3 linked regions of the Kluyveromyces lactis genome follow. The protein of the gene in region 3 purifies or fractionates together with the protein of the main gene of each other region. This does not show direct contact. Links are inferred from orthologs where the notes say so. Each region holds a gene or a part of one and is shown on either strand. Other genes may lie near its edges.

Region 1 (4,242 bases), on a different chromosome or scaffold from region 3:
ATACAAATCGTTTTTGTTGCAACTTCTTGAATAGATCTTGATCAATGTATTTCTTTAATGATGGCCCGTCTTGAGTCATGTGACCACTTTCAGATAAACCCTTGCGACGTCTTGTCTTCATCACAAAGTCCCTGCTTAGGCTTGCAGCAGGCGCTGGTTTCAACTTCGGTATGAAGGCTTCTTCGTCAAGTACGTCACCTGGCACTTTTCTCCATATTTTATTCCAAAAGTGCATTTGACACATTCCGCTACCGGCGGTCGCAACACGAAGATCTGTCTCAAATCCAATCGACTCGATGACAGGTAATTGAGCCTTTATTTCTATGAATGGTGATGCCACTATCTTTTCTGTCTTGTAAATTCTTCCACCTCTGCGTCTCTTCAATAAATTCTGAATCACAGACTCCAATACCCCCGATACGATAATATCGACTTCATAGATGGGTTCCATGATAATTGGAGTAGCAGACATTAGCGCAATGTAACATGCCTTTCTCGTCATTGGCACTAGTTGAGATGGGATGATATCTTCGATGCTGTCTTCTTGTACCTTGAATTGCAAGAGTTTAAATTGGCATGCATGGATTGTTTCATCAGCCAATGGTCCTTCTTTCACAGCCCATTCAAACCCTTGTAAAATGTTTTCTTTATATTTCTTGAGTAGTTGCTTATCCGTTTCATCAGGTAGAGTATCGTCAATGAATACATTACATTTTGATAAATCCCAGCAGTTTCTAGCTGCCAATGAGTCCCATCCATACTCGGTTCTTAGACGTTTGGAGAACTTTCTCATGTTATTCAATTCTGAACTGTCGATTTCACCATGCGTCAAATCGTGTACTATCTTTCCATCTAATTTTTCGGCCATAACGCTGAGTGATACTACACCGTTGTTTGACTTTACAGGAATTGACGCGAACGATTCGTTCTGACAACTTTCCGTGAATTGCACAAGCGGTTGGCTTACTTTGATCTCAATTTCACAGAATTTTTTCCGTAATTCGTCCATCACGCAATCAAGGTAAAGTTCTCCTGTTCCAATTATGATGTTTTCGCCGCTTTCTTCAACTCTAACCACTAATGCAGGGTACAATTCGTTTGCTTGTTGAAGACCGTTCAATAGTCTCGGTAGTTCACTTGGTTTCTGAGGCTGTATGGCGAATTTGAACACCGATTCGTTGAGATAGTTAATTGGTGCTAGCGGGTTCATCAAGCTCGAAGACAAAGTTGCATATTTCGTATACTGATCTTCAAAACCTTTTAAAAGTACAATCTGTCCTTTTATTGCTTCCTCGAGTTCGTAGACATACCTACCTCCCATTAAGGCTACACGCTCAATAGTAACCTTGGAGTATTCATCATCACCAAAATCTACTACAGAGTCTACGGACTCATTGAAAATATAGAGTTTGTTGCCTTTTTTCACTGAGCCCTCTATTATCCGACAAAGGGACCACTTGGAACCTTCCAGGCTCATGTGTCTCAATACATGTACAACAGTGCTTTCATCGGATGATAAGTTGTTGATTTTGTGGTCCTGTGTTGAAACAATAGCATCGATGAAGCAGTGATAGTGCGGTAGTATAGCATGAAACACGCTAAAAAGTAGCGGCTGAGGATCCTTTGATAGAATCTCATCTGAAAGCCTGATTTGAAAATTGGTTTCGATGACTGTTCTTAGTTCTTCCTCGGATGCAGATAATGTATGAGTGAAAACCTTGTATAAAGGTTGTAAAATAAACTGAATGAATGCAATGTTGTCCGTAATAAATTCTGTTTGGTAGAATGCTCCTTCTCTGTAATTAATTTGACCCCAAAGTTGAGCAGCAAATTGTTCTGTCTTATCCTTTAACGATTTAGCGTAAAATGAGTTCACAAAAGACTCCACAGAGAATAAGAATCCAAACTTGGTACTGGCAAAGAGTACATTACCTAGCTCCGGTGAGAATCTTTCTTTGGTATATGTGTTTATTTCGTTCACGATATATTGTAGTTTGCTGTATGCGTCTGTAGGAGGAAGTCTCAAATCCAAAATTAATCTATCAATTTTGTTAAGAACGATGATAAAGGGGATCCCATTACTTATCAATTCTCTTATCAGTTTGGAAACTACAGAAGTAATTCCTTCTATCACATCAACGATGATTACACCATATTGGCAAGCAGTCAAAGCAATACCGACATCGTCCCAAAAATTTACATGTCCAGGTGTGTCCAACATCGTCACTGCATACGTACGTCCTCTTGACGATTCATATGCAAACGACATACCATTCAATCTAAGCGAAATACCACGTTCCTTTTCTATCCTCGCTTGGTCGAGGTACCTAAACGGTACCCATCCCTCCTTAACTTTTTTTGTCAAGGACGGAAGATTGCGATGAGTATCTAACGCAAACATATCCGTGAAAGAAGTCTTACCACAATGTAGCGCCCCGAAAATTCCAACATTTAACTGACGTTCTGGTATCGAGAAAAGGCTTTTCAAGTACCCTCTGTCAAATAGTGCTTTAGGTACTTTCCTGTTAACAGCTTCGCTATATGATTTCGAATCGTCCCCAATCAATGGTTTCTCAGGTTCTCTATCTTCCACTTCCAACAAAACTTCAACATCATCATCGAAATCACGGTTCACATCTCGAAGTACCACATCGGTAGAGTCAGCCTCGACTATCTTTTGCCGTAATTCATGTTGAGCTTCCTGCTCTCCTACTTCTTCCAAACTATCATCATCAGAATCGATTAATTGCATTGGATCCCCAATGAAATTACCGAACTCATCGTACAAATCTTCATCCATTATTGTATTTCCTTCCAAAAGTACTCAGTGCTGAGTCACGTCACCCAAATCGCAGTAGTCTTCCCTAAGAGCAATGCATGTGCTTATCATTCTATCTTCATTACTCGAAGCTTTGACTTTCGTCAACATTTACATAATGTCTAAGAACTGAAAATATCGATGAGCCCTCGAAAAGACAGACATTTTGCCAAGACGGATGCCGAAAGGGTTCTAGGAAATAAAAAGGGTGAGCTTACCAAGGGGTCACACAGAGCCGAACTGCATTTTGAAATGCCTGAATACATCTGGCTTTCTAATCTTAACGGGAACATACACATTCCCGAGCGATTGTTGTCTTTATTGAACGAGGAAGACCAGGATATTCCCGATGAGGTTAAAGAGTTTACATATGTACAGCAACTTGACAAGAATTTACTTTCGCGGACTTCTGTTATTGGTCTAGGGTTTGGGTTGATGAGTCCCGTACTTGGTATGAGCACTACTATGAGTATTGGATTGCTAAATGGTGGATCTCCATCGATAATATTTGGGTATCTGATATGTGGGATAATGACGTGGATTAGTTCACTGTCGCTCAGTGAGATAGTCTCGAAGTACCCCATAGAACTTCACGGTGCAGCGGCCATGCTTGCGCCTGGCAGACTTCGGTTGCGTATGTCTTGGTACTGTGGTTGGCTAATGTTGTTTGGAAGTTGGACGATGAGCACTAGTATTACGTTTGCGGGTGCACAATTGATTATTTCTTTGCTGACAATGACTAATGAATCTCTGATAGACTCCCGGTGGTTGACGTTATGGACTGTGCTAATGTTTTATCTCATTGTGACTGTGGTTGGAGTCATTAATCTAAAATTTTCAAGTTTCATTGAAACTATCAATAAGGTCTGTGTTTACTGGATCTTATATGCGATATTATTCACAAGTACACTTCTCCTATTATTCCAACCAAACCATAGATCATTCAAGGATGTCTTTACCAAATTCGATAATAGTTTGTCGGGGTATAGTTCTATGGCCTTGTCATTTTTAATTGGAGGGTTTCAGCAATCTAATTTCACTTTCCAAGGGTTTGCGATGTTATCGGCATTATCTGACGAAACTGAGAAACCAGAGAAAGATATTCCTTACAGTATGACACGCTCTGTGATAATCTCACTAGTTTCCGGACTATTTTTCTTGATCCCAATGATGCTCATTCTACCTGATGTCTCTGAGGTAATGAATCATGAAGGTGTCATGCCCATCGTGCTTATCTTCACAAAATCTACTAAATCGTTATTCGTTTCCATCTTCCTTGTTCTATTGATCTTGGGAAACCTATTGTTTTCAGGTATTGGCTCGGTGACTACATCTTCAAGAGCACTGTACAGTTTAAGCCGTGATCGTGGTATTCCATATCATCACCTCTGGACTTATGTGGATCCTGCGTCAGAATCTAAGGT
Region 2 (4,300 bases), on a different chromosome or scaffold from region 3:
AACGTGAAGAGTTAGCTTTAATTGAAGAGGCATATGACAATCCTCATGATACCTTGAATAGAATTAAAAAACTATTGCTAACCCAAAGATTATTCAAGCCAATACAACTAACAATGATGGATCATTATCAACACATATCTCCAGTCTATAACGTTGATCCGTTGGAGAAAATTACCGATGCATATCTTGACCAGTATCTATGGTATGAAGCTGACAGAAGGCAGCTTTTCCCTAGTTGGATAAAGCCAGGTGACTCAGAAATCCCGCCACTTCTTGTTTACAAATGGTGTCAAGGCATTAACAACTTAGATTCTGTATGGGACATCAGCAAAGGGCAATCGACCGTATTGTTGCAAACTGATTTACAAGAATTCGTTGAAAAGATGGATTTGACACTAATAAACAGGCTCCTAAGGTTAATTATCGATCCGACATTAGCGGATTACATTACTGCAAAGAATAATGTCAGTTTGATCTTTAAGGATATGAATCATGTTAACAAATATGGTCTAATAAGGGGATTACAATTTGCACCATTTGTTTATCAATTTTATGGTTTAATGATTGATATTCTCATCTTGGGACATGAAAGGGCACAGGAACTAGCAGGCCCTCCAAACGAACCATCTGAATTCTTGCAATTTCCAGATAAAGCTACTGAAACGAAGAGCCCAATTCGCCTCTACTCACGCTATCTTGACAAAATCCATATTTTATTCCACTTTGAAGAATCTGAGTCTGATGAGCTTATCCAAGACTATTTGATGGAAAACCCCGATCCAAATTTTGAAAATTCTGTTGGTTATAACAACAAGAAATGCTGGCCTAGAGACGCCCGCATGAGGTTAATCAGACACGATGTTAATCTAGGTCGTGCTGTTTTCTGGGAACTTACATCTAGGGTACCAAAATCACTTGTTAACATAACGTGGGAGAATACTCTTTCTTCAGTTTATAGCAAGAATAATCCTAATTTACTTTTCACTATGTGCGGTTTTGAGGTGAGAATACTACCGAAATCTCGGATGGAAGATGTCATTTCTCATGATGAGGGTGTATGGGATTTGGTGTTGGACTCCACAAAAGAACGGACTGCCAAAGCGTTTTTACAGGTATCACAAGAAGCTATTGATGAGTTTAGAGGTCGTATTCAAAGTATTTTGATGGGTTCCGGCTCCACAACTTTTACAAAAATTGTGGGCAAATGGAATACTGCACTAATCGCTTTGTTTACCTATTTTAGAGAATCTATCGTCACGACAGAACCGTTACTCGACTTACTCGTGAAATCTGAGACTAGAGTTCAAAATAGAGTAAAACTCGGCTTAAATTCTAAAATGCCAACAAGGTTCCCTCCAGCAGTGTTTTATACACCTAAAGAGTTAGGTGGTTTGGGAATGCTCAGCGCATCGCACATTTTAATTCCCGCTTCTGACTTGAGGTGGTCAAAACACACAGATACTGGAATAACACATTTCAGGGCAGGGATGTCCCACGAAGATGAGAAGATGATACCAACAATTTTCCGATACATTACTACCTGGGAGAACGAATTTTTGGACTCACAGAGAGTATGGGCGGATTATGCTGCTAAAAGACAAGAAGCCATAAAACAAAATCGTAGGTTGGCATTTGAAGAATTAGAGGGTTCTTGGGATAGAGGTATACCGCGGATCAGTACCATATTCCAAAAAGATAGGCATACGCTAGCCTATGATAAGGGTCACAGGATTAGGCGACAATTCAAAGAGTATTCAGTGGAACGTAGTAATGCTTTCTGGTGGACAAATAATCGTCATGATGGTAAATTATGGAACTTGAATGCCTATCGTACGGATGTCATTCAGGCCTTAGGGGGTATCGAAACAATTCTTGAGCACACATTATTTAAAGGAACTGGCTTTAAATCATGGGAAGGACTTTTCTGGGAGAAAGCCTCTGGTTTTGAAGATTCAATGCAGTTCAAGAAACTTACTCATGCACAAAGAACTGGTTTGAGTCAGATCCCTAATCGTAGGTTTACGTTATGGTGGTCTCCGACGATTAATAGAGCGAACGTCTACGTTGGGTTTTTGGTGCAATTGGATTTAACAGGAATATTCTTGCACGGTAAAATTCCAACATTGAAGATATCTTTAATTCAAATTTTCCGAGCACATCTATGGCAAAAAATCCACGAAAGTGTGGTTTTCGACATCTGTCAAATTCTGGACGGCCAAATGGATATACTACAGATTGAATCTGTTCAAAAAGAATCAATTCATCCACGTAAGTCGTATAAGATGAATTCGTCTGCTGCTGACATCACATTGAACAGTATTTACAAATGGAAGGTTAGCAGACCAACATTGTTGCATCAGACGAAAGATTCTTTCGACGCTACCACAACTGACAAAATGTGGATCGATGTGCAGCTTAGATATGGTGACTATGATTCTCATGATATATCAAGATATGTCCGTGCGAAATTTTTAGATTACACCACAGATAACGTGAGCTTGTACCCGTCTCCTACTGGTATTATGATCGGTATTGACTTGGCCTATAATATTTACGACTCCTATGGAACGTGGTTTGAGGGATTGAAGCCCTTGATACACAACGGTATGAAAACAATAATGAAAGCTAATCCAGCACTTTACGTTTTGAGGGAGCGTATCAGGAAAGGTCTTCAGATATATCAATCTCAAGTTCAAGAGCCATTTTTGAACTCATCCAACTACGCAGAGCTATTTTCCAATGACACAAAATTCTTTATCGATGATACGAATGTTTACCGGGTCACTGTTCATAGAACTTATGAAGGCAATGTGGCTACTAAGCCTATCAACGGATGCGTGTTTACTTTAAATCCGAAAACAGGTGAACTATATTTGAAAATAATTCACACTTCGGTGTGGGCGGGGCAGAGCAGATTGGCTCAATTGGCAAAATGGAAAACCGCAGAAGAAGTAAGTGCATTGGTTAGATCGTTACCCAAAGAAGAACAACCTAAACAAATTATAGTTACTAGAAAAGCTATGATGGACCCTATGGAAGTACACATGTTAGATTTCCCAAACATTTCGATTCGTCCAACTGAGCTCAGATTACCTTTTTCTTCTGTTTTGAACATAGAAAAATTAAATGATGTTGTTTTAAGCGCTACAGAACCGCAGATGGTTTTGTTCAACATTTATGATGACTGGCTAACTCGAGTTTCTGCCTACACTGCTTTCTCTAGATTGATATTGCTATTAAGAGCGCTCAAAACCAATGAAGAAAAAGCCAAAATGATTCTATTAGAGGATCCTACAATCCCAACGAGAGCTAATCATCTATGGCCTTCTTTTACTGATGATCAGTGGATTGAAATTGAGACGAAGATGCGTGATCTAATTCTCTTAGAGTATGGTCAAAAATACAATGTAAACATTGCTTCTTTGACTCAAACTGAAATCAAGAATTTGATTTTAGGACAGAACATTAGAGCTCCATCTGTTCAGAGGCAGAAGATGGCAGAATTGGAGGCTGCAAGAAATCAGAAAACTGATGAGTCGTCGCAGTCTGCCACGGCAGCCATGAAGCTAAAAACAATCAATGCTCAAGGTGAAGAAATTACAGTGGTGTCATCCAGCAATTATGAGTCCCAATCTTTCAGTTCGAAAAATGCTTGGCGGTCAAATGCAATCTCCAATTCATTGCTACATTTGAAGCTTAAGAACATATATGTTACTGCCGAAGATTTTGTAGAAGATAAAGATGTCCTCGTATTCCCACGGAACTTGTTGAAGAAGTTTGTCACAATAGCTGATGTCGATGTCCAAATTGCAGGGTATATGTACGGGTCACCTGTAAAAGATCACCCTAATGTGAAGGAAATTAAGACGATAGCACTTGTCCCTCAACTCGGCAGTTCCGCAACTGTTCGCATATCTCCTCCCCCCTCATCTTCCAAATATCTCAACGACATGGAACTGTTGGGATGGATACATACCCAAAAAGTCGATTCCAAATTCATGTCACCATCTGAAGTGATCACTCATTCCAAAATGTTTTCAGATCATAACGAAAGTGCTGTTGATTTGTGCATAAATCTAATCCCAGGTGCCGTATCAATTACAGGATATACGTTAAGCACTACGGGTTTCAACTGGGGCTTACAATCGAAAGACATAACGGACCCTTCACCAGAAGGGTTTGAAGCTTCATTTAGCGAGACTGCACAGATTTTATTATCTGAACGCATTATGGGCAATTTCTTGGTACCTTCGTCATCGATATGGAATTACGCTTTCATGGGAACTGCTTTTAGCGAAGA
Region 3 (4,782 bases):
GCCCAAGATGTGTTGAGGACAGCTTTAGCCAAAGGTTGTGATTCTTCAACTTTGGTTGAGCATGATTCTACCGAATTGGAGCCATTGGTGATCAGCAAGGTGTTGAAGAAAATTGTTGAAGACAAGAATGCTAACTTGGTTGTGCTCGGAAAGCAAGCCATCGATGATGATAGCAACAACACTGGTCAAATGCTCGCTGGTTTGTTGAACTGGCCACAAGCTACCAACGCTTGTAAAGTAGAATTGTTAGAAGACGGCGCCAGTGTCAGAGTCACCAAGGAAATCGACGGTGGTGAAGAAATCGTGGTCGCAAAATTACCTATGATCATCACCACTGATCTACGTTTGAATACGCCAAGATACGCTACGTTACCAAATTTGATGAAAGCCAAGAAGAAGCCTTTGGAGAAGTTGAAGTTGAAGAAAGATTTTGAAGGGATCAATTTGGACCCCCAATTGAAACTGCTAAAGGTCGAAGAACCTCCAGTCAAGAGTGCTGGTATCAAGGTTTCCTCTGTCGATGAATTGGTCTCAAAGCTAAAGGAAGCCAAACTGGTTTGAACACTACTTCTGGCTTGATTTGAAACATTCGACTTATATAATATTATGAATGATATGTGGTTATTGTATAAAATGTTAACACGTTGTATAAGTTAATATAAGAGTACGAACAATTTCTCAGTTTGCATTATCCTTGTCAGGGGTCCCAAGTTTCCTCATGTCTCGTCTCTTTGGTGCCAAATGTTCGAGTAGTCCCTTTGGTTTCGATGCAAGATACGTCTCCTGGTACCATTTATCGAACGTCTCTTTGCTCTCTTGTCGTTGCCGTATCAATTCCTCGATATCGCTATTAAACTGTATTACTTGCTGCAATTCAGCAGTGTCTGTATCCGGCAGCAACTGAAGGCTGGGCAAAGTTAGCTTCTTCCTCCCCTTGGGCCATTTCTCCGACGATTCAACTCCATGGTATAATACCACTTTCCTTAACTTTGAATCCATTACTTATGATTTGCCTGGTGATGGTGGCGAATAATCTCCAACTATACAATCTGATCTCACCGAAGGCTACTCAACCTGCTATGATACTATTGAAGTCGTCTGATATACTCTCTCTGTACCCTCTGTTCATCAGTTTGTTGCAAACAATATTTAAAACTTGATTCATTCATTTAACTTCATTCTATGGTTGATATTAATTTCAATTAGACACATAATGCCACATGTAGCGACACACAATGAGCGATACCAGTGAAACAATATGTTCCATGTGTCAATTGTTCTACGTGAACAAATGGGTGCTCGGTACAGGTGGTGGTATCGGCATTAAACAGGACAACATCGCATACATATCACCAAGTGGCATTGAGAAAGAACTGTTGGAACCTGAACAAATTGTTAAATACAATATACAGGACGATACTTATCAATGTGGTGCGCCTGGATTGAAACCCTCTGCGTGCACACCGTTATTCCTGGAGCTATTCAAGACGCTGGGTGCCTCGTGCGTCATACACACGCACTCTATCAATGCGGTGCTTTGTTCAATGATATATGAGAAGGAGTTTACCATCAAGGACATTGAACAAATCAAGGCGATACCCAAAGGTGACGGTACCAATTTGAGGAACGTTGATACCCTACGTATTCCAATCATCGATAACGCTCCAGAAGAACAGGATCTCATGCCAGCGTTGAAGCAAATGATTAAGGATTATCCAAATGCATGTGCGGTACTGGTGAAAAGACATGGACTCTTCGTTTGGGGCCCCACGCCAAAGAAAGCCAAGATATACATCGAGTCCATCGATTACCTCTTTGAAGTAGCTCTCAAAATGAAAGAACTCGGTCAATGAAAGGGAGACCAGCAGCTGTGTATAACATTATTTATATTTCATCTGTTAGCCCATCGCTCACTCCAAATGTCTATTTCTTCTTTAAACGGTAACTTATTCTTACACGCTGGGAACTTCTGAAGTTTTGCCAGTTCTTTTTCTTCTGGTATATCATCTATCAGCCCACATAATACCACTTCACTACTCCGTATAATGCATATCTTGCTGTCCTTTAAAAGAATCATGTTTCCCGCATGATCAAACCCTTTCATTTCACCATAGTATGTGTCTCCATCGACATTGACCAACATCACCTTCTTGTCCAAATAATCTTTCAATAGAGCACTCATTGTCCATTCACTGTTCTAGCAAACAAGGGGGCAGTTATGTGGATATCTTCGCTCCGATGGATCGTTATCTTTTCTTCGTTACTATTATAATTTGAAAGTAATGTTTTCTATTTGAAGATTCTCTATTATCAATAACAACAACATCTTCAACAAAGAAGAATCACACATCATAACAGAAGTATACAGGCTTCTACAGCAGTTATCTAGAGTTGTGTTGTGGCTAATATTGTTAGAAGCTCCGAATCACGGTTGAAATGGCGGAAGAGAATGAAAGTGAGACCGATTACGGGTCTTCTCCCTTTAAAAAGATTCCAGACGCCGACAAACAGATCTTAGAATGGACTAGTCGTCTAGAGTTGGAGACTGTGCAGTTGCGGGACACGTCTGAGAGTCTATTCAAGATTATCAAGGAGAACGTGGATGAATTGAGCCATTCGCGAAAGTTATTCCAAGCAGAACTTGACAGTAGAAAAGGTATGGTTTCTATGCACAATGAAAGGAATATCTACTTAGTATAAGGGCATTTACTTAGTTCTATCTACGTGGATTGGTCGTTGATTGATACCCTTTAGGAATGATTCTTTGTAAGAGTCACTACGGTCAGTTTTTACTAACTAGGAAAATAACGGATGAGACTCCGAGAAGTCGCCGTTATTTCTGTGTGTATTTAGATGGTAATCAAGAAACGGGAACGGAGATTGTCTCTGAAGTAAAGTCTCGTTTGGATCAATTAAAGGCATCAAGCGGTGAAAGTTTGCAACTTTTAGCGGATAATATTACGAAGCAGATGGATAAACGACATCGAGAATGGATGGACAGATTTACCATGAATGAAAATGTCATGTTCAATGTCGTGCAACAAATGCAAGACCTCACGGATGCCATCCAGACGTTGCATGAAGATATGAGGTTAGCTAGCAAGAGGCAGGCGTTGCTTGAGAAAAGATTGAGACATGAATCTATCGCTACGCCTGAATCTCAACACCTAAATCAAAACCAGACACAACGACTCAGGGTATTAATCCCCTGGGAAGAAGTTCAAGAGTGCGAAATGAAATGATTGACCACATTTCTGTCGGCATCGATGGCAATGGTAAGATTTGTTTTGCCGAACGCGGTGTTCGGGTCAATGAAGTTTTTATAATATAGTTCATAACAAGGCATATATCTATCAACAAACGCCTTCACTTGCGCATCAGTCATTCCTTCGCCCTGAGATGCTAGCATAGCATGCTCTTGTTGTAACCTCCACCTATATACATTGTTGGTGTCGTCAGTTGCGAACTTGATACCGACAGTATCCAATGACTCATTATTCCATAGCAATTGTCCGTACTCTTTCAACGAACGGTTCACTTGTTTCAGATGTAACAACTGGTGGTTCAACAGTATAGGTGACGAATTTTTCCTTTCCAATTCTGTTTCTGTAATGGCTTGGAACCCAAGGAACCATCCCTCGATGATCACACAGTCCAATGGCAATTCAATATCAATACTGCCAATCCTGTCTCCTTCTCCGTTAAATCTAGACTTGTCATATACGGGCAACTGGATCTTTTTACCATCATGCACTTTGTCTTCATCATTTGCAAGCTCTTTCAATGTCTCTTGCAATGCTTTCAAGTCATGAGTGCCCGGTAACCCCCTTCCATGTAGTAATTTATTCTCTGGGAATGCTGACTGTAACTTCAATTGGTCCTCATGGGTCAGATAAAAATCGTCAATGGATGTCAATGCTGCTCTCACGCCCTTCTTCTTCAACGAACGAAACAATATCTCACTATTATACGACTTACCAGACCCTTGTGGCCCGGAAACCAACACAAACAAAGGACCTTTCCTGTCACCTTGAACTTTCCGTTGTTCCAATTTCTGTTCAACAAACTCCACGCTTAACTCTGCAACGTTCATTTCTATTGCAATCTCTCTTCAAACCCAGCAATCCAATACCATACGGTGGTTTCAGTCTCCAATGGTTGCAGATCTTGCCGGTAGCTGTGTTTGCCTTTAAAGGTTTCGTCTTCAAATTGTTCTCTTAGGCAAGAATTTCGGCGATAATCAATTCATACCTTTAAAGGTTTGATGACTCTCATGAACAAAGCCTTTGAACACACCAAAAAAAGAAGAGAAAAGATACCATACTCCACACCGTTGTGACTTCAAAGAGGGGTATACTGGATTGGTATATATACGGGTAGATACTTAGACCAGTTACCAGTGCTACTTAGGTGTTAAGTAGAGAGAACAAGACAGTTGAAATATCCTACACGACACTGGAGATTTGGAGAAATAAAGTACTAGCTCAGAATGAACAAGCTTCACTCTTTGTTACGGTTACAGCAGGTTAGTCTGACCAGGTATAGAACTGTTAGCAAACCTAAGGCTCCTCCTGGTGGTAGAGGGACGTTTGGCGGGATATTGGTTTCACAATCGCTTTTAGCTTCTTTGCAGACAATTCCGGTAGATTTCAACCCGAGTTCGTTGCATTGTTATTTCCTTATCGGAGGTAACCCAGACCATGATATCGATTACGATGTAGAATCATTACGTTCTGGTAAGAATTTCATTCATAAACAGGTAAAGGCGTACCAGTTTGACAA

What was found. The genes of interacting proteins can lie anywhere in the genome.
Region 1: the proteins of LSM8 (region 3) and SNU114 purify together in Saccharomyces cerevisiae (affinity purification with mass spectrometry; 3 studies listed by BioGRID, with this or other methods). This does not show direct contact. The link is inferred for Kluyveromyces lactis from reciprocal best matches to the Saccharomyces cerevisiae genes LSM8 and SNU114.
Region 2: the proteins of LSM8 (region 3) and PRP8 purify together in Saccharomyces cerevisiae (affinity purification with mass spectrometry; 4 studies listed by BioGRID, with this or other methods). This does not show direct contact. The link is inferred for Kluyveromyces lactis from reciprocal best matches to the Saccharomyces cerevisiae genes LSM8 and PRP8.

The regions. Positions count from the first base shown.
Region 1 is NC_006037.1:603,569-607,810, reverse strand, and holds the start of SNU114 (U5 snRNP GTPase SNU114), read right to left. Parts: upstream 2,801-4,242; coding exon 1-2,800. Other genes in the region: TPO5 (Tpo5p), read left to right, coding at 2,960-4,242. UniProt on the Saccharomyces cerevisiae protein: Component of the U5 snRNP complex required for pre-mRNA splicing. Binds GTP.
Region 2 is NC_006037.1:471,930-476,229, forward strand, and holds part of PRP8 (U4/U6-U5 snRNP complex subunit PRP8), read left to right. Parts: coding exon 1-4,300. UniProt on the Saccharomyces cerevisiae protein: Functions as a scaffold that mediates the ordered assembly of spliceosomal proteins and snRNAs. Required for association of BRR2 with the spliceosomal U5 snRNP, and the subsequent assembly of the U4/U6-U5 tri-snRNP complex.
Region 3 is NC_006041.1:1,465,867-1,470,648, forward strand, and holds LSM8 (U4/U6-U5 snRNP complex subunit LSM8), read right to left. Parts: upstream 2,183-4,782; coding exon 1,892-2,182; downstream 1-1,891. Other genes in the region: CIR1 (Cir1p), read left to right, coding at 1-561; KLLA0_E16413g (uncharacterized protein), read right to left, coding at 679-999; methylthioribulose 1-phosphate dehydratase MDE1, read left to right, coding at 1,236-1,853; TDA10 (putative ATP-dependent kinase), read right to left, coding at 3,221-4,093; TES1 (palmitoyl-CoA hydrolase), read left to right, coding at 4,490-4,782. UniProt on the Saccharomyces cerevisiae protein: Component of the nuclear LSM2-LSM8 complex, which is involved in spliceosome assembly. The LSM2-LSM8 complex plays a role in the biogenesis of the spliceosomal U4/U6-U5 tri-snRNP complex by accelerating PRP24-mediated annealing of U4/U6 di-snRNA.